Drosophila melanogaster: one gene and its partners. The protein of the gene in region 3 interacts with the protein of the main gene of each other region in a pairwise test. Each region holds a gene or a part of one and is shown on either strand. Other genes may lie near its edges.

Region 1 (6,899 bases), on a different chromosome or scaffold from region 3:
GTGAGATCTGTGTGGACTGCATTTGGCTAATGGTGGGCAAATGAGCTGCTATCGCCTGAAGGGAGTTGCTTTTAAGCCATGGCTCCTGGACTGGATTGCACTGGCAGCGAGTGAGTCAGGTGCCATAATTGCGTTCCATACACGTCGGTGGGTTGCTTTTGTTTTCTGTGGCTCTCTCAGTGGCTGTTAATCCAGCGCCACCGATGCCAAACGAGGCCCCACCCACCCCGTGTGCCATATAAGCCGCATACCCTGTAATTTAGCGAGGGTAGTTGGGGATTCGGTGGTGGGTGTATATGATTTCGAACAAAGCTTAAAATTAATGAATTTTGCTAGCTAGTGCTTATTATTAGAATATTTAAACAATTTGTAACATTGTAATTGAAAATGATGACTTTTAAAAGTTTGAAAAGTTTGATTATATTATTTGGGCTTAAATACTGTAATTTCTAGCATTCTTGCATTGTTTTAGAAATGGCAATTCCGTTTTGAACCTTGATCCATCTCTGTTTAAGTCCAGATAATATTTGGAAAATAAAAAAAGATCTTATTATATGTAGGAACGTTTAAAATGTAATAAGCTACATTCATTTTCACCAAAAAAGAATTATAAAAAATGAACTACAAACTCCAGTGAACTCCAGGAAGAAACATGCATATAGACCACTTTAGGAAGAGCTTAAAAAATAAACCGACACGGAAAATCGTAAAAAGAAACTTTGCCAGCCAATGAAGCCTGAAGAGCAAATAAACTAAGAAATAGAATTCAAACAAAGAATCCAATTGAGCATTAAACTAACCGAATCGAAATACAAACACCAGACAATAGCAACATAAACCAAATGGCAAGGCGACCAGAAATAGTAAACTTATAAAAAACAAAGCAAAGTTGGCCAGAACCGGTTAAAGAAATTAAAACAAACCTAAATAAAATTAGCACCAATTAGCAGTAAACAAAAATAAATAGTGAAAATCGCAGAGTTTAGCTGGAAGCATCAAAACATAGTTGAGGTGCCGAAAGTCATTAAGATAAACTTAGACTGATCCAGTTTCAGATGAGTTGGTTCTTCTTGATTAGTTTAAAATGTACACGGTGAAAAATTACAGTGATTTAACGTAATTATATATATATATATATATATATCTAAGGTATTAAATAGGTTTATAAAGGAAATATTCGAAAGGTGCTTAAAAGTATGCAATAAAAACCATATCCTGGGCAGTAAAATATATTGCTGCAAGTTTTGTAAGAAAATTAAAAAAAACTTAAAACTATAGGGTATCCAGAAAATGATAGCCACATTTCCTGGTTTGACCAAATGCGAATGGAGAATGACAAGATTCTCACTTTTTAAGTGCCGTCTACCATTTGCGGGTTCATTTAACTTTGGCGCGTGTTCTCCCAGCGTTGGGCCCCTAAATGCACTTCAAGTTAATATGTAAAATAACAACAATATCGTATATACATACATATGTACATACATCATCGATGAGGCATACCCAATCCCGGCGCTCTATTGGTATTTTTTTGTCGGCCAGACTGACGAGCCATTGAACTTGGAGTGCGTAAACCCGTTTTTGGGATGCCTCGTTTGGCCCGATTCGGATTCGGTTCAGTTCGAGACCGGAACGGATCGGTGGGAACTTATTAAGCTAGGTCATGACGTGGTCCAAATTGGATTGACCCGAACCGTTCTGAAGACCCCGTTTGGCGCTACACTCAACGAAAACGGGTGGCAATTGAGTTAAAAGTCAATTATAAAGATTTTCGATGGCATTTATTATAAAAAAAAAAATGTTATTAATTTTATGAATTTGAATTAAAGATTTTCAAAATGTTGAAAATAATAATGATATATGATACCCTTTAAAATCCAATGAAAATGTGATTTTTTTTTTCTTACTGATTTAAAATTATGTATGGAACACAATCTTTTAAATTATTAAAGAATTGTCGAATGCTTTTAACGTGTGACGATTTTACCCGTTTGCTTTCTTTCAAACTTTCCTCTCGCATTTTATTAACCCCTTTACATAAATCGCTGATTTGGTGATCTTCATCTGGAGTTAATCAACTCCATTCGGATCGTATCATATCAGCCGCCTTTTCCCCAATCATAAATGCCGCTGCATTTGTGTGAGCGGTGGGTGGAAACGGTATGATACTGGTGTCCACCACCCGAAGTTTCCTCACTCCATGCACCTTTAGCTGATGATTGACCACGGTGGTGGGATCACTTTCGGCGCCCATGCGACAGGTGGCCACCTGGTGGTGCAGTGTGTAGGATAGCGTGCGTATGGAGCACCGCCAATAATCATCCGAGGCGAATTCGTAGTTCTCACAACCTGGCACCGGCTTGTCCAACAATCTGGTTCCAATCGCCTGCATGGCCGGCATCTTGGAGATTCTGAGTGCCTCCTTAATGCCCTCCAGCAAGTTCTCCACATCCGACGGAGCCGAAAAGTACTTGGGATCGATGCGTGGCCACTCGAGTGGATTGCGATTGTGCAGCCAGAGGCGACCCACGGAGGCGGGCTTGAAGTGCATGATGAGGAAGCTAAAGTGATCCTGCTGCCTCAACGTCAGATTCTTGTACATTTTCTCGTAGATCTCGGGCTTAAAGTTGGCTCCTTTGGCCAGGGCAGTGCCATCATCGCTAGCCAGGCTGCCGGCCACTTGGATGAGTTCCACATCGGGTTGGGTGGCCGGACTCTTGCCCGACGGCACCTTGATGAAGGTGAGCGTCTCTACGCCACCGATACTGGACAGAAAGGTGTCTGCCCGGCCCAGTAGAAACTCCTTGGCCACCGGTGCGCCCAATTGAGCGGCAAATAGAGTCTGGCCCGTTGTGTTGGTCACAAAAGTGGGTCCAAAGTGGCACATGTGATCGAACATTCTCTTACCCACTGGCAGTGCCTTGATCAGGGGTATTCCAATGGCCTTGAGGTTATCTTCTGGCCCAATCCCCGACAGCATCAGCAACTGTGGAGAGTTGAAGGCACCCGCCGATAGAATGATTTCCTTGCGGGCTTTCACCTTAAAGCTTCTGCCCTGATGGGTCAACTCCACTCCATAGGCGGACTTGGTGGCTGCATCTATCAGAACTCGGGTGACTCTAGCCAGTGTTAGAATGTGCAGATTATGACGCCTAGATCTTATGGGCTCAATATAGGCACGAAAGGCACTGTGCCTCCTGCCCTTCAGTGTGGTGGCCTGCACATAGGAAACGCCCAGCTGGGATTCACCATTGTAGTCCGTTCTCGGATGACCCGCCTCCTGGGCAGCTCTAATGTAGGCGTGTGCAAGTCGCGTCCGGTGTCGCACATCCTCCACACTCAAGGGACCACTGTGATTGTGATATGGCGAGTGCTCCAATCCCTGAAGCTGTGCATGCTCACTTCGCAGAAAGTAGGGCAACACCTCGTCGTAACTCCAGCCGGGATTTCCAGCTGCCGCCCAGGCATCAAAATCCCTACGATTGCCCCGATTGTAGATCATGTAATTGATCGAGCTAGTGCCACCCAGAACTTTGCCCCTCGGCAGGGCACACTTGTTATCGGGCATTCCACGACAGGCATGGCGTTGTGGCGTCGAGTTGTAGCCCCAATTGGAGGCAGTCGACTGCAAATGGGCCGCCAGTAATGGCACCTGATGCACTATGTTCTCCACTCCTCCGGCTTCGATAAGGAACACACTCCAATTGGGATTCTCCGAGAGACGAGCGGCCAATGTACAGCCAGCAGCTCCGCCTCCAACTATTATGAAGTCATAGTTTCTTTGGGGAACTGCAAGGAGATTTTAAAATATATGTGTTAAATCGATTACAAATTTTCCAGTACTAAAAGCATGGAACTCTCTGGCATAAATACGCTTATTATATTGGAGCACATATAGGTACTTGAATATTTCCATGATTTGAATAAACCCTCACCATCGCTGAAGAATGGCACATTGACGACATTTCCCAATCCCAGTCGCCGCAGTTCGTCCAGTTGGGAGCTCCTTTGGGAGTGGATCAGTGGGATCAGGAGCAGAAACAGAAGCTGGGTCAGCAGCAGCTTCTCCATGGTTGCGATGGCCGGTAACTGAACTCTGTGGCTACCGAGCTTTCCGTGATATTGGACCTCTACGTCTGCCAACGCACTGTGGAACGAGTTTTAAAAGTCTCAAAAAAATCTAGATATGTGATTTATTTTATATTTTACTATTATTGCGCTTTTTATTTATGGGCGTGGAAAGTTAGTTAGTGAACATTAATTGAAACTTTTATTATTTTATTTCAAATGGAACTTGCTCCACTGTGGATTATCTTGCCGGTTTGGTTCTCCCTCACTGATCTCTATACCCCCCTCTCTTTCGCGCCGCCTTTCTCCGCATCACTACGTCTTCTTTTTTTCCTCCACTGTTGAGATGAGTTGGTTGACTTGGTGGCCAGGTTTGTAGGGCCAAAACAGGCTGAGATTGTCTCAGAATTTTTATTGCCACTTGCTAATTTGCGCATTCTGCTTGCTCATCTCTACGGTCTTGCCTCTCTTTTATTTGCTGTTCCTCTGTCTCTTTTCTAATGCAGAAAACAAAAATTTAGATCATTTAAGTTTTGATTTGATAAAGACACCCATGGTAAATGGTTAATTTCTTCAGCAATTTGTAATTAGTTTTTCTTAAAATTAATGATTTTTGCAATATTTTAAATACATATATTATATACATTAGTTTTCTCTCTGTGTTTCTTCTGCATCTGAGCTCGGTTCAATGGCATTTGGATGGGCATCTTGTGCTGGCTTTGTTTATATTTTTATTTTTTATGCCGGACTGTCAGTTAAATCTTTGAAGATTGAAGCACCAGCGGCTCGGGCACTCGAGGGTTAATATATATTTCAAGCCACCCCATAGAGTATTATAATCAAGAAAAAACCAAAACAAAACAAAACCAAAAACGATTAAACGACTTTAGGTCTAGCCAAAAATAAAAAAATGTATAAAAGGGGTGGCTCAGTGCAGTTGGTATCAACCCCAGCATATGGATGCAGTTCATCCAATCCCACAATAAAAGTCATTGGATGCCCTTACAAAACCAAAGCAGCCGAAAGGGGAACATGAAACCAAAATGTGAACAAGACTGGGATTTCACAGAGGACATTGATGTGAAATTCGGAGGAAGGGCCATGTTTTGGTCATGGCAATTGCATTCAAAATTTGTCTCTATTGTGTTCGCCTTTTTCTTTTTTTTTTTGAGCGGCTCAAACCGCCCCCTCGATTCATGAATATTTCAATTTGTGTTAATGAAAAGTCTAGTGACTTTTTTCGAAAGGAAAGGGAAATGTTTTCATGAGTTTTCAATGGGAAATAGGATAGCCTATAGCTCACTCGGTATTTAGTCAAAAGTAAATGAAATAAAATTTGTGCAACAAATAAATTGAGTTGTACGTAAATTGCCTTGTTTTCTATATGCACATGTAAGTTTATAGAATATATGTGAATATATTAAATTTAATAAGCACTGTCAAAGGCTAGTCACGTAGTGACGAATGTGATTTAGAATCACAAGCCGGCTTTGAAATTCTTCGAAAAATATAAAATCCAAGAGCTTTAAGCTGAGCTCAAAGCTTTTCGTTTCATTTCGATTTGAATAGAATTTTAATATAGCCTACCCTTGGGGATATTGAAAGATATACTTATACCAAAGCAATTATTCTCAATTTTCGACTGATTTATACCCACTCTACATACATAAATAATTCTAAGGTCAAATCGATGCGAATTATACCAAGATCAATCCAAAGACTCAGCACCGAAAATTGCTTGAACAAAACACCTAACAAATTATTCACACCGGCTAAGTTCGTTAGACAAGATAAAAAACGAACGCAAAAAAAACGAGAGTGATGAATAAAAAAAAAATCATTTCCGCAACAATAAAAAGATCGAGAGAAACTCAAAAACAAAGGCGTGTAATAAATCAAAACAAAAAATCGTCAAACAAGCGGACAACTTCATGTATTTCACAGATTTTGATTATGAAGCCACAAATTGATTAGCATGAAAAGTGCCAGAGTTGAAAATCCCTATTGATATAAATGAGACAATGCCAAAGACAGAAGTCCAATAAAATTCAATGTCAAAGTCAAATGGTTTAGGCAGTACGAATTTTTTGGGCCTATAACTATTGTTATTTTTTCTGGTATTCAAGGAGTTGGATAGTTAATCATTTTAAAATTCCCAAAGTCAAATATGCATTCTATAGAGTTCATATAGTTCAATAATTCTGCTTGCATAGTAAACGAATTTTGTTTATATAGTACATACAAAACTTATAATCATTTATTTATGCTTATATAACTAAATCTTAAACTAGAATCAGTTCAGGCAAGAAAGAATTACTACACATAATAACAAAAAGTTTTCGAAGGCCTTAACTAAAACTAAAGCCCCATTTTACACTGGCCATTGCATTTAAGGTGTGATTTAACGAGATGATTCGATGGTAGGCCAGTGTAAATGGGGCTTAAACCTGATTGTGTAATTAACTTTGGGCTAAGATGGCTTCACTGGATGAAACCATGATCCTGTTTAATCATATCGGCTGCCTTCTCGGCAATCATGAAGACGGGTCCATTCGGATGTCCGGACATGATTTCCGGCATAATGCTGGCATCTGCGACTCGCAGATTCTTGATTCCGTGGACACGGAGACGATGGTCCACAACTGCAGCTCGATCGGATTTGGGACCCATCTTGGCGGTGCCGGAATAATGGTAAATGGTGAAGGTAAAGTGCCTCACATAGCACGCCCAATAGGCCCAACTCTTGTAGGGATGCTGTTTGCATGTGGGTATCTTCTTTTCCCACAACCTGGCATTTATCTTCTCCATGCCACGTTGTTCCATCAGACTAATGG
Region 2 (9,386 bases), on a different chromosome or scaffold from region 3:
ACGGCACGATTATACAATATGGCCACGTAATTAGTCGCCTCGTATGGCGGCAAACAATTGCAAACAGTTGGCAAACAATGTTTGAATGTTCTCCAAAACAGCAGCGGTGCGCAATTGAGACATTATTCAATTTGTGACAATCGCGAGAAAACCGAGTAGAAAACTTTAACAAGAGCGAAAAACAATTAACTGCATTTTGGCGGCGATTTCCCAAAGCGATGTTCTAATTTTGCAACCGAAAATGCCTCGCTGGGCCCAAAGTTGTGAACATTTAATGAGCACCAAAAACGTAAATTTAATTTATATCGTTTTCTAAGCTTTTTGTCAGACGACAAATTTCGTAATGTTTTTTTTTTTTTTTGTTTTTTGTTCGCTTTTTGTCGGTTTCTGGTGGTTTTTTTTTTCTTTTTTTTTTTTTGTTTTGTTTGCTGGTGATTCGTGTAAACTGTGCCGACTCGGCATGGAGCTTTGGATTTGGACCCTGGTTGCATGTCAAAGGCGCATGAAACGCGCCAGCCTGCCACAAGAATCAAATGACACTCGGCCTGGTCCATTTCGGTCGCTCCACGGAGTTAAAAAAATTATCCATGCAGTGCAGTTTGTAGCTTACAGTTCGCAGTTTGCAGTATGATATGGTCAAAATACCCAGCAGTGTGTAGCCTTAATTGGCACCTCGACACTTGGCCAGGACCGAACCGAATCGAATCGCATCGAATGACTGCTGCTGTGTAGGTGCACTTGATGGCCGGCTGTGGTGTGAGATTTATGCATGTTCTCTTTGCGTATCCATTGCCCAACTGATGGTGGTGGAGCGGCACGACGGCTACTGGGCAGTTGGAAGCTTGGAAGTTGCAAGTTGGCACTTTGTTAGGCTGCGGCGCCGCTTTTTGATAAAGTATCCCAGCCAATGGTCACGCAATAAATTTTTGACATGACTTACGCACGTCCGAAATGGTCGATGGGGGGCAATTGATATGAGTGGTAGCCATTATGTAGATCTAAGTGATCGGAAACATTCAATAACACTTATACGACTTTTATGATAGCCAGCCAAAGGCCACACGGCGTATGCGCAATATTTTCATAGCAATTGATTTTTATCCTATTATTGTTGGTTATTTTAAAAGCGTGCAGTATATTTAAGATAAATACTACGTGCGTAAGTCTCCTCCCCTTCAATGTTGCACCTTTGAGCCCCAATTCTGTCCCAAAAATGTCAGCGATTAGCCGAGAATTTCAATTGACTGCACCCTCGCCACCAACATCCGTCGATTTCCATCTGCGTGATTGCTCTTGAAGAACCGCCCACCTTGAATTGGAAACACATTTCCACATATGCAAATCGCGAAAATCCAATCTGCAATAGCTTTATTCGCTGAAGCATTTAAAAATCGATTGATTGCTGTAAAGATCGTAATTACCCATTTAATTACTCTTGTTAATTAAACACACAATCGCATGAGGCGAGAGCAGCAAATATAATTGCCGTCCGTTCAGATTGGACGATAAAAGCCAGTGGTAATTGACATTTAAGGCAATTCATTAACGCAACTAACATATGGGAGTCAAAGAGCCAAAGTTAAAAACTAAATACCAACAGGTGGACTACTGCCCAAATACGAGAAGAAAAATGAAAAAACATCAGATACACGAATAACATGGCTAATCATGCACTAGATTTCGGGATATGTGTCTTTTTTTTCACAGGCCCGACTAAAAAATGCTGCCTCGGTTTTTTTTTCCCCCAATTTTTCACCGCGCATTTGCATACGAGTGGCCAAGTCGACGGCGCCACAATCTCCTCGGTTCCCAGCCACCAGCAAGTTCGAAGATTTCGGAGAGCCGAGTTGTTAGCGGCAATTATTGTAACCTGCAGACGGGCCGCATAAATCAGCTTAATTGCTATATTTAAATTCTAAATTTGGAGCTCTGGCCAAGTGCGCTGTCTAGTTGTGCAAGTGACACGGTCAGCGTCTATTTGGACCTGCAAATCTAATATATGCATGGCTATAGTTTTTGGGCAGCATTAACAATTTATGCAAATTAATGTGTGTGTGATGGTGGTCCCCTAAAAAGGCAAATTTATTAGAAGTATGCATATTTAAATTAAGATATGCCTGTTATGGGTGTTGTAATGAATGTTAAGTATTTTCACATGTCGATTTTTAATAACAAAGAACCTAATGAACTTATTACACATTTCAAGAAAGTTCTAACGGTTGGTTTTAAAATTCAAAATTCGATAGAAGTCGATATATTTTCAATGGTTTGTGTCCACGCTACGACCACAGTCAAATTGGAAATTGATGTCAAGTATTTGTGATTATTTTATGGTAATAATAAAGCGATTTAGGTAACAAACACATCTAATTAAATTCTATTCATTAAATATATTTTATCGTAGTTGTATTCTCATTAACTGTCAAATTGCGGAATACCCCAAACAGGATGTGGTATTTTCTAGTATGCGAGCAAAAATATACCGCATAGGTTTTCCACATTTCAGCTTTACAGTCACACTGCACCGCTCCGCCATTTTACGCTGACAATTTTTTCGCAAGATTGAAGAAACTAGTTCGTGCACGAGTAGAATGTAAATAGTTACAGAATTCACCCAACGGAAAACAACGCGCCAAAGCAATTAATCAATTAATTGTGCAGCGGGCGCGATTACCCGGCTAAATCGCGCAGCAGCACGCCGGTTTCTGCTCCGGCTTCCCCCTCCCCCGCAAAAAAAAAGAAACTGTACGAGGCGCGAGTGCAAGTGGGACAGAGACGGAAAGATTGGCGAGTGTCTTAGTGTGCGTGCGAAAATTGGGAAAAGCGGTGAAAAATCAGTAATTACGCCTAGGAATAGCAACTTTTCCGGCTCAACATGGCCGACGTGGTCTTGGATCTGTACGCGGAGGACCTCGACAAGGACTTTGCCGGGCAGGCTCAGGTAAGCCATGGGAAAAAGGCAGTCGCTCTGCAAGCCGCGTGTGTATGTATACAGTAGGGTGGATCGATGTCCGAAAGAATTGCGTTAGGGGGTAGAACGGCGTCTTGGGCGAACTCGACCACTTGGTACCTTGTAAAGTAGGGTTCTAGGAACTGAGTGCAGGGATATTATATTTATATAAAAATGAAACGTAATTTTTTTTAATTTCTTTAGCCATGGAAATGTAGAGAATTGTACGAATCCCAATAACTATACATTCTAAAAATTCTAAAGTAAAAATAGAGTAAAATCGAATTTGTAAAAAAAACAAGACTTGATCGTTTATTTTTAACGATTTTACGGGATTCCCACAACAGTTTGACCCACTTGTTAATTACTTTGCTTTATCCGCACAGGACGAATTTGGAGGCGATGGAGTAGACCTATACGATGACATAGGCGGTCCCACCGAATCGGCCGCCTCAGGTGGCGGGGGCGGTGGAACGCCCTCCGCAGATGGAGCCGCAGGGCCAGGCTCCGGGGAACCCGGCGAACGGAATTCCGGTGGTCCCAATGGGGTGTACCATCAGAGCAGTGGTAGCCTCACTCCGACCATGAATCGCCGCTACCAGCTTTATGTGGGCAATCTCACATGGTGGACCACTGACCAGGATATCGCCAATTCGCTGCGAGACATTGGCGTGAGTGATCTACAGGAAGTGAAGTTTTTTGAGAACAGGGCCAACGGTCAGTCGAAGGGCTTCAGTGTAATCTCCCTCGGCTCAGAATCTAGCCTGCGCGCCGTGCTCGACCAGCTGCCCAAGAAGGAGATGCACGGCCAAGCGCCGGTGGTCACGTATCCCAGCAAGCAGGCACTCACCCAATTCGAGAGTCTGCAAAAGACGCGTCCAGTGCCGCCGCCGCAGCAGAATGGACCGCCCAGGGGTCCGGCACCACCCAGTATGGGTGGCGGGCCAATGCCCACCGGACATCCAGGAGGACCGCAAGGAGGTGGACCACCGGGACATCCACCGCGCGGGATGAACTCCATCATGCAGCCGGGCCAGTACCGACCGCAGCACATGTCGCAGGTTCCCCAGGTGGGCGGACCCAACTCAGGACCTCCACGAATGCAGGTACACAACCACTGTTTTAGCCCCACATGGCCCCAAGAGGTCTCATCGTTTGTAGAAATATCGCTCGGTTCTAATTTGTTTTGTTTCTACATTCCTACATTATTTCCTATTTCCATCAAAATTGTTCTGAATGCAAAATTTGCTTACTTAGGTAAAATTAGAAACCCTAAATATACGACTTCATGTATAGTTTATAAACGAATATGTTCTACTTCAGTTGTTCGATATTCTTTTGTAAATTAAACGTAGAAACTTAGTTTTACAATTTAGAGAAAACAATAACGACTTTAGATGTGAGATATAAACAATCTGAAATATCCGATCTCTTGTTAGTATTTCATTTGATAATTTATAAACTAAACTAAAGCTGTCGTACAAATTAAGTTTCTAAGAATTTTTATTTATGTCTTTAAGTACTATTCTTATTCTTTACTTCTATTAATTCACAAGTAATTTCAGAGCAATTTTTTGTAGCACTCCTCGGCCTAAGGCAGTTTGTATTCTTTTTACTCCTTTTGTACTCTAGTCATAGACTTTCAACAAAAAAAAGCACATGTAATAAATTAAAATCAAGAGCAGTGCCTTCCTGGTTCCACTCAAATAATATATACTTTTGATTTAATTGCGTTAATGTATTTCCCCCCCTAGTATTTGTAATTGTGTATAATGGCCCGCTATTGTTATACAAAATGTTTATGTATTACGATTTATGTTCTATTCCATGTCTTTGACAACGCTTACGCACACTTCTACCCCACAACAACAACTACTACTTCAATATAAAACGTAATTCGTATTAATATAGCCGCCAATGCATCCGCAAGGCGGGCTCATGGGGAACCAACAGCCGCCACCCCGGTATCCGTCAGCGCAGGGCCAATGGCCAGGTCAGCGGCCAGGCGGGCCGCGACCAGGTCCACCGAACGGACCACCGCAGCGACCAATGGTAACAATCCCCAAAGCACTGAGTCCTCTTTGTATCTATGCCATAATATAATTCTAACGAAGCCAGAGAGAAGGCGAGATAAAGGAAGACTAACCCAACTTAAGTTAACCTTAGTTAACTTAGTCTTAAGCGATGTATTCAGAACATTTTCAGTAATTCCACAGATCAACCCATGCAACACAAACTCATACTATAGCTTAGAAACCGATTCGATCCGATCATTGGGAACAGTAAATAATCTTGTCTCTTCTGCCTTGCAGTTCCAAGGAGGCCCAATGGGCATGCCCGTCAGGGGTCCGGCAGGTCCCGACTGGCGTCGTCCACCCATGCACGGTGGTTTCCCGCCGCAAGGTCCGCCACGTGGCCTTCCCCCAGCACCAGGTCCGGGCGGACCACACGGCGCACCCGCACCCCACGTGAACCCAGCATTCTTTAACCAGCCTGGTGGTCCTGCCCAGCATCCGGGCATGGGTGGCCCGCCCCACGGAGCACCAGGTCCACAGCCAGGCATGAATATGCCACCGCAACAGGGCATGAACATGACGCCACAGCATGGACCGCCACCCCAGTTCGCCCAGCATGGACCACGTGGTCCGTGGCCGCCACCGCAGGGTAAGCCACCAGGTCCCTTCCCCGATCCGCAGCAGATGGGTCCGCAACTGACGGAGGTGGAGTTCGAGGAGGTGATGAGCAGAAATCGCACAGTCAGCAGTTCGGCGATCGCCAGGTGAGTGCAAAGGTTTTTAAAATGTTTTCTTTAACGAGGTCAAAACTTGTAGTTATTATTTAAAAACTAACCCATTCCTAAGTCGAATTCATAGAAAATTCCAATTATTGAAACTATGACTCAGATCCGGTCTAATTAATAAATTATCTAGATAATTAATTACTTTGTTGATCAAATATCAATTCCCTTTTTATGCTAATTTATTTTCAGAGCTGTTTCTGATGCAGCCGCTGGTGAATACTCGAGCGCCATCGAGACACTGGTCACAGCCATTTCACTGATCAAACAGTCCAAGGTAGCGCACGATGAGCGATGCAAAATTCTGATTAGCTCGCTGCAGGACACGTTGCATGGCATCGAGGCCAAGAGCTACAATAGGCGCGAAAGGTCGCGGTCGAGGGAGCGATCTCATCGCAGCCGACAGCGACGTGAGCGTTCCACGTCCAGGTACCGCGAGCGATCTCGGGAGCGGGAACGCGATCGGGATCGTGAGCGTGAACGGGATGGCGGGTAAGTTTTGGTTCTACCATGTGTAAGCCTCACACTTAATTCCGTATTCATTTTCTAGAAGCTACAGAGAGAGGTCTCGCAGTAGAGAACGTGAACGCCAGGCTCCAGATCACTACAGGGATGACAGGTAAAGACGTTCTACTTCTAAAAATTCGCTTCACTGTCTCATTTAAAAGTTGCTGATTAATTAATCATAGTGCTTCATTTAAATAGCATAGAACTCATAATTTATTCACTCGTAAACAGATTTTTTACTTTTGCTGTAAAAACAAGTGTAGATTTGTAAAGTCAGACGAAACTTTATTTTAAAATATTTGGAAAAATGTATAATTTATTAAAAGGTAGTATTTTTAAGGTATAGGCTTTTCAAATTTTTTATTTTCATTAAAAGCTTTCTGTAAAGATGTTAGCTTGAATTGTAACTGTTTAGGCTCATCAGAATATTTTTGCTCTTTTGTGCAACAATATACGGTGACAATTAAGCGAATTATTTTTAAGCTCGAAATGAAAACCTTGCGTTAATTTCAATCCCATAATCCGAAAACAGCCGATCGGTGCGTCCACGAAAGTCGCCGGAACCCGTAGTCGCCGAAGCAGCGGAGGCGCCATCATCGAAGCGCTACTACGAGGATCGGGAAAGGTACCGCTCCTCGGACCGTGAGCGACGCGACCGCGATCGAGACCGCGACCGCGAGCGGGAGCGTGATCGCGACAGGCGTGAGGAGCACCGTTCCCGGCATTGACTGCCGTAAGTGGAAGTTGGAACCATCGCCAGTGGACCCGTAATCAAGTGTAAAGATGCAACACAGATATACTAAACACACTCTATTAACAAACAATAAGCCGCAGCTTGGTGGGATGACAAGCTAGCCACAATTAACAGATTTTCGATTTGTATCTAACATTACCAATACGTAGGATATGAATATGGCAAACAGCATAGTTCTTCTAGACATACTATAATAAGCCGAAATGCTGACAAGATTTTACCAACGACGGACGGGGACTGCCTCTGGATCCATCCAACTTCACATCACAGAATCCTGGCAACATCAAGACCGGCAGACCGAAGTCAGCAGCAGTAGCAGGAGGATCGATGGAGAAGCCAAGGGGACAGTCAGCGTGGGACATTATAGACACTGATGCGCACTGGATCATCAAACAACAAACAACTAGCATTCCTGCACCGCCGTCTTCGCAGCAGAATTTCAATATTATTGTACTCTAAAATTTCGGTTTATTTAATAAAACATAAACGTATGAAAAAAAGAATTGTTCCAGAAAAAACCTTTACCAAAACTGTCTTGTATTGTGTGTCTTCTTGTACTCTTATTATATAAAAAAAAAAACATCTTATTAGTTAATGACTTTATAATTGTACAACAAAATTGTATGTAAAAATTACAAAATTATTGCACTTGTGCGTGCAATTAATATGGAAATTGTTATATTAACAAAATCATTTTGCCGACTGAGGCCGAAAATCGTTATCCCTAATGTATTTTCAAATATTTCGCGATCTTTTGTTGTAAACATTCTCCACGCATTTGTTTAATCTTGTTTTTATTTAACAATTAAACTTAAGTCGATCATAATTGTGTGCTTGAGACTGAGTGTGAGTGAATTTTTGTAGCATTCAAATGCCGACTGAATCCATCCGCATAAACGGATGGAGAAAACCATATGTTTGTATAGAATAAGTCGAGTGTGTGCTTTTAGCCCAAATACCATGATTTTTAGACTAAATTACTCTAAAAGAGAAACGTCCCAATCGCATTTATCGTAGTTAACTATACTAACGTTACAAGCTGATGTAGTTCCTAACATAGGTTCCAAGAAAAGAACAAAGTCATTCAGTTCCCCCCGAGATACTGTACTACTCGCGGCTCATTTTACACAACTTAGGCCTCCAATTGTATCATCTACATTTTACTTTTTTAAATTCTAGCTTTACTTTTAATTTGTATATACATTTTGTAAACGATACTCGACTAAGATCATGTCCCACTAATCCCGAATTGCAATTACACCTTGTTAAATCAAGTCTACGATTTGAAAAGTACCTGTAACTCTCCGCAGAGCGAGAGCCTAGAGGTGTTAAGAGTATTATGAGCTTAACGATGTCTTGTACAATTTATACTGTGATTGTGATCTCGATGAAACAAACTACATATGAATTTATACAAACCATTACTGTCTGTTAAGTCATGCCAAAGCAGGTAATGTTGTCCCATTCTTCTGGGACCCTATATATACACTATAGAATTTTTAGAGTTTTCTTGTTTTATGGACAAGTAACAGCACCTAGTCGCCCAATTTGCCATAGTTTATTATTTACCATGTACAATGTTTTTAGAAAATACGCCAATTACCTTGTTTTTGGATCTAGCGCGAAATAAAAAAAACATTTACTAGTCGTTTCGAACTTCGTTGCTTTTCAAATGGAAAGTAGGCAGCGCGCGCAACCGAAAAACACGTCATAGAATCATCTGGAAGTTCGAAAAATGTCCGTTTACCCAACACTGACTCAGGTGGGCAATTGTCGAAAACACCACCTTATCAACAGTGCTGACGGTGTTCTAGTTTTGAAAAAAAAAAGGCTGGTATAAAATCCAAAAGATTTATACAAAATTGAACTGGAGTATTATTTATTTATTCAATTAACAGGATTATATGTTAAACTTAATTTATAGTATGTTGTACAAGTATTTATGTGTATACGGTGAGTTTAATAATGAATACGAGCATAAAGTTCAAATCTAAATGTAGCTGTAAAAAGACCACGTCGTCAGCACTAACCTATAGCAACTTATCCAACACTAAAAGCTGATAAAACAGATTTCGTGAAATACAGAAAGAAAAGGCAAGAAAATAGAGCCGAGTAGGCCTTACAAAGTAAACAGTCAGTTTTAAAACATCAGTGCAAACAGTTCTAATTCACTCCTCCGTTTGACAAACTTATGTGTAATATTACTGGAAACTAGCAAGAGCAAGTGCGAAAAAGACTACAATGGCAGATACTGCGAATTACATCAACGACCGTTTCCAGACCTTCATGAACGGGCTCGGTGACCGTTAGTAAGTATTACATGCCGATGGGTCACCCCCTTAGAGGTTGGGGTCCAAGTGCGTTGCACTGACGTGTTG
Region 3 (4,898 bases):
TCTGCTCCATCAGCGGTCTGCAGATGACGCTGGACTGCCTGGAGCGCGGCGAAGACCAGTGCATCATTACGGGCGACACTCGCTGTCAGGTTGTTCAGCCGGAGCACGGCGTTCTGTCCAACGAGCTTATGACCGTGCAGCAGCCCCAAACTCGCAAGCGAGCTGGAACTGAACTGGCCACCGAGCCAGAGTTGACGCCCACGCTAGGTGCCGCTGCTTTGGCCTGGACTACTATGCAGACAGCACAGCGTCTGAACCTGCAACCGCTCGCCCTGCTACGAGAGTTCGCTGTAGAGCAGGATCACGAGCAGGCTATGTTCCGTCTGGATGGTAGGGAACCCGTGACGCCCAGTGATATCTACACCTGGAACATGGTCACAGGCACACAAAAGGGTATACCTGAAAGCATACTTGGCGATCTACATGCCAACCGCCTGTGCACGCATGACTTCAAACAAATCACAGCCAGCCACCTGCTAACGCATCTAGTCCATTCCCTTCCTGCAGGCGGACTGGGTTGCGCTTTTATGGGCACGACGGATGGCCGTTCCATGGCCATGGTACTTGAGAAGCTGTGAGTTTTGATCTCGGTTATGCCTGCTTCTACTAACACAAATCATCTTGCAGGGTGCCAAGCATTGATCAGGTGGAGGGCCTTCCGTTGCTCACTTTGTATACCAGGGAGCCCTGTCCACTGTGCGACGACCTTGTAGAGCAGTTGGAACAGGGCTTTGCAGGTCAATACCGTCTGGAGAAGGTTTACATCGACCGAAAGGAAAACGTTAGGTTCCTCCGCCTCTTCAGGCACGACATTCCCGTTCTGTTCTTCAACGGCCAGTTCCTATGCATGCACCGGCTAAACGAGGAAGCACTAAGAGAGCGGCTGGAGGCGCTAAACTAGTCCGATAATCGTTGGAAAAATCGTAAACAAACAAAATTCAATTCAGTTCAAGAAAATTCATAACTCAAGCTCTACTCTACTTGTTTATGATTAATATGGGGCATGCATATTGCGCAGAGTTTTTATTAAGTACAGTGTGTTTTTCATACTATAATCCTTGAAATTTATATTTTGCTCTGCATGGCTATTATAACCGGAAGAAGTTTAAAACATTTCGCCCATGGGTTTGATAGTGATTTCATGTACCTGAAGGTGGTTAGTTAAATTGGTCATAAGTTAATACATAATAGTGATTATGCTCACCTGAACATGAGGCGGAGTTCGCAGAGCATACATCACTGCGTCCGCAATGTTCGCTGGTTCGAGTCTGGCCATGTCTTTGACGTAAAAATGGATCTCTTCCGGGAAGATGTTCGTGTTCACCGCACCAGGACAGATGCCAGTAACCCGGATTTTGTTCGAGTGCAGCTGAAATTCCTGCCGATATGTCTCTGTGATGGCGGTGATGGCAAACTTGGTGGCCGGATATATATTGAACGATGGCAAAACGTCGATGAAGTTGAGCACCTGATGTCCGGCTATGCTGTTGATGATGAGAACGTGACCTTCGCCACCTCGCCGTTTCATGTTATTGAACGCCTCGCGGGTACACCAAATCACGCCCATTACGTTGGTGTCTATGACCTCCTTAAGCTTCTGCGTATTGCTCGGGGTGACCAGTTCCGTCTCGCGAGTAATGCCAGCATTGTTCAGCAGCACGTCGGCGCCCTCCAGCTCCCGTTCGATCCAGTCAAAAGAGCTCTGCACCTGATCTTCCTTGGAGACGTCGCAGCGCCGCGGTATGAAGTTCGCCTGCAGCTCCCGGGGCAGACTCTCCCTGAGCTCTTTCAACTTGGCCTCCCGACGTGCCAGGCCCACCACCCGTAGTCCAGCGCCGATCATGGCCCGAGCACAAGCGGCGCCTATGCCTCCGCTGGCTCCTGTTACCACAGCCAGTTTGTTCTGCCACCGCTCCATGCCGTCTTGTGAATGAGGAGCTGATGCAAGTAAGAAGCCCGCATCGGAAACTCGGGAGCAGTTTCATGGCTTCTTGGTTCGCAATTGAGGTTAATCTCCAACGGTCAAATGTTGTTGTCAGGTTGTAGATATATATATTAAAAGAAGATTCAACAATTTGGGTCAGGATTATACGCACTTAAGGTTAGGCTATCCTTTTATTCTTAAATTGACCTAAAGAAAATGTATTAAGGAACTGCGAGACTTTAAATATAAAATAAAATAGCTCAAATGTATATATTTTTTTAAGATTGTGTACTTTTTAAATTTGAATAAAAATTTTATAAGCGATAACATAAAAATTAATATTTGTACTTGGTAGTGACCAGTGACCACATTTTAAAGAAAAATTCAATTTGCATATTTATTCAAAGTCTTGAAATCGGTTTGAATTTACACTTGCCGGCAAATTGGTTATCGATAGTGCAGGGCGTACTCATCGATATTTTCAGGCCAGCAGGAGTCAGATATAACTGCCATCACTAATAAAGTAGAAAAAAAAAACCATAAGCTTACCGCAGGTGTTGCAATTTTCAGTGAATTCGCAGCAAAGCCAAGCAATTTGCATTCAATCATCTGTGAAGGAAAAGCTATCACACAAAATGGCACAAATGGACATCGAATTGAAGAAGGTGAGCGGAAGGCAAGTTGCCAAAAAGGCCGACTGCCGACGGAGAGCGCGTGCTCTTCCAAAGAACTTAGTCATAGACGATTCCTTTTGCACGCAGGCCTTCACCGAGATGCAGATCAATAAGCTGGAGACGACCAAGAAGATCCACATGATCGACATGAAGTGCGACATGGTCAAGACAGGCAAACAAAAGTACCAGCTGACAGAAAAGGGCACCAGCAGCTTGGCCGACGACACAAGGTACATAACTAGAATCACAATTAATCATCTCCAGGTGTTCAGGTGGCTAATTGAACTGTTTCCCTATAGAGTTTACCAGTCCGTGGGTCGCATGTTCCTGCTTACCGATGTACAGAATATGCGCGAGGACCTGAAGGCTAGGCAGGAGAAATGCGACAAAGCGATAGAACTGCTGGAGAAGAAGAAGGAGTTCTTGCAGAAGTCCCTTAAGAGCCAGGAAGACGGTCTGCGCGAGTTGGTGCAGCAGCGCAAGGAAGCCGATCAGACTGCGAAATAGACTACAACTCCAAACTGGCATTTATCCCTCAACGCAATTGCTTATTTATTTTCAATATACTCGTCTAAATTGAAGTTGGCGTAGCTGACAAACTTGTTGCCCAGATTGCGTTCGTGTTCCGGGCGGAAGCTGCACTTGAGGACGGGCAGGCGAGCGGTTAGCCAGGGCTCCACCACCTCACCGGAGCACAGGATTACCTTGCTCTCCTTCTGGTTTCGTTGCAGCCTAGTGATTATTTCACACGTTTTGGCGATGCACTCCTGGGACAGGAAGGGCGGGTCGGCCACGATGAGGTCATATTGCTGGTGGTGCTCTTTGAGGTAGTCCGGGTTGCTCCCTACGCAGTTCAAGTCGTAGTGCACAAAATCTGTGCCATAGGCCTCGAAACGCTTGTCGAACTCGAATATGTGCACTACAAGATAGAATGATGACAATTCATTCATAATCGTTTCACATGTCCACTTACCTGTGTCATGTATCTCCCTGATGTCCTTGTAGAGCGATGGGCAGGAGAGCAGTGCTATACTAAAGTCACCCGAATCCTCCGTGCGCTCCGCCAGAAGCTTACGCACAACATCACGCAATGCGTGCTTGGTTTCCGTGCTGTACCAGAACTGACTCAATTGCTGCAAGCGAAGAGAGTTTCACCATAAGTTTCTAAGGTATGTGCAGGTGCTCTTGCCCAATCCTCCTCGAACTGGGCATCCTTGCCGGTCTTGTTGGCGATTTGATTCTCCTCCTCGGCTTCGCGTTTTGATCTCTCCAACAGAAATTCGTTTAAAATGGCCAAAGTGTCGGCGGGCAGCGAGATGTCGTCGTCCATAATTAATTATTTGCCACTAAATGAATCTTAGAGCATTCAAATCAAAATAAACCAAAATGTGCGTTTGAAGATTAGAGGTGCGAAATTAGCGATACAAATGAGAACTTATTGGGGGGATTCCAGGCCTTGGCGCTGTTTTCAAATTGTAAATTATTAGAAACTTAGGCCAACTGCGATATTGAAATTATACTTTCAAAATAATATGCACTTTAACCGTATGCAAATCGATTACCAATTTTAATTTATTTTAAGTTATTTTATTAATACAACTAGCTCCAGAAACCTGTATCGTAACTTTTATTTGACAACACATTTTCAAACTGTACTGAATATTTAGGCGTTTAATCGACAACTAAAACAGCAACTTTCAAGTACGTGGTCTTTAAATTTCGTAAGATCGAGAAAGCAGTGCGATACAAATCGGTGGCAGCCCTGTGTCAGTTCGTTTTTATCGAACTAGATCAACTTTGCCCGTCCATCTCTAGTTCGCACGGGAGCCCCGACCAAACTGATACGTATTAATTTACGAGAAAAACTTGCGTTTAATTCGAAGTCACATCATATCGCAGGCTGGAACGTACCTGCTGCTAAGTAAGAGGTAAGTGAATGGCCAACGTGAATTAGGAAAAATCAGTGCCTTGCCGGAAACGAAATCCATGTGATTAAAGGCTAACTTTCTTCGCTTGACGTCGTTCCCAAATCGGATAAAAGTGTGCTGCTGGCCCAGTAATTACACTGGTGAATTATGCAGGTCGGCATTTGGACTCGCTCCGCGACTTCCGTGCGGGGGAGGAAGCATCCAATCCCCAAGCGCAACCGTTTCGAATTTCTACAGCGCGGCGCGAAGAGCCCTGCACTTTGATTTCGTTGCCGTTCATTGTGGAGTTCAGTCGGGTCAATCAGCCTCAATTTGCGAGACTTACCTTCTGAATCTCTGACGTGTACCTACCAACCAAACTGTCCACTATGT

What was found.
Region 1: the proteins of Pfdn1 (region 3) and CG9522 interact in a two-hybrid assay, tested with the Drosophila melanogaster proteins (one large-scale study listed by BioGRID).
Region 2: the proteins of Pfdn1 (region 3) and Cpsf6 interact in a two-hybrid assay, tested with the Drosophila melanogaster proteins (one large-scale study listed by BioGRID).

The regions. Positions count from the first base shown.
Region 1 is NC_004354.4:14,844,711-14,851,609, forward strand, and holds CG9522 (uncharacterized protein), read right to left. Parts: upstream 4,099-6,899; 5' UTR 4,069-4,098; coding exon 3,933-4,068; intron 3,787-3,932; coding exon 2,072-3,786; 3' UTR 1,762-2,071; downstream 1-1,761. Other genes in the region: CG12539 (uncharacterized protein), read right to left, coding at 1-22; CG9521 (uncharacterized protein), read right to left, coding at 6,547-6,899.
Region 2 is NT_037436.4:8,308,627-8,318,012, reverse strand, and holds Cpsf6 (cleavage and polyadenylation specific factor 6), read left to right. Parts: upstream 1-2,510; 5' UTR 2,511-2,875; coding exon 2,876-2,941; intron 2,942-3,336; coding exon 3,337-4,056; intron 4,057-4,861; coding exon 4,862-5,002; intron 5,003-5,262; coding exon 5,263-5,729; intron 5,730-5,939; coding exon 5,940-6,239; intron 6,240-6,297; coding exon 6,298-6,366; intron 6,367-6,786; coding exon 6,787-6,982; 3' UTR 6,983-7,520; downstream 7,521-9,386. Other genes in the region: BI-1 (Bax Inhibitor-1), read left to right, coding at 9,250-9,317. UniProt on the Drosophila melanogaster protein: May play a role in pre-mRNA 3'-processing.
Region 3 is NT_033779.5:6,066,662-6,071,559, forward strand, and holds Pfdn1 (prefoldin 1), read left to right. Parts: upstream 1-2,417; 5' UTR 2,418-2,559; coding exon 2,560-2,589; intron 2,590-2,685; coding exon 2,686-2,828; intron 2,829-2,897; coding exon 2,898-3,105; 3' UTR 3,106-3,146; downstream 3,147-4,898. Other genes in the region: CG9147 (uncharacterized protein), read left to right, coding at 1-574, 628-901; CG9150 (uncharacterized protein), read right to left, coding at 1,106-1,147, 1,205-1,918; CG9154 (uncharacterized protein), read right to left, coding at 3,147-3,517, 3,572-3,731, 3,788-3,928.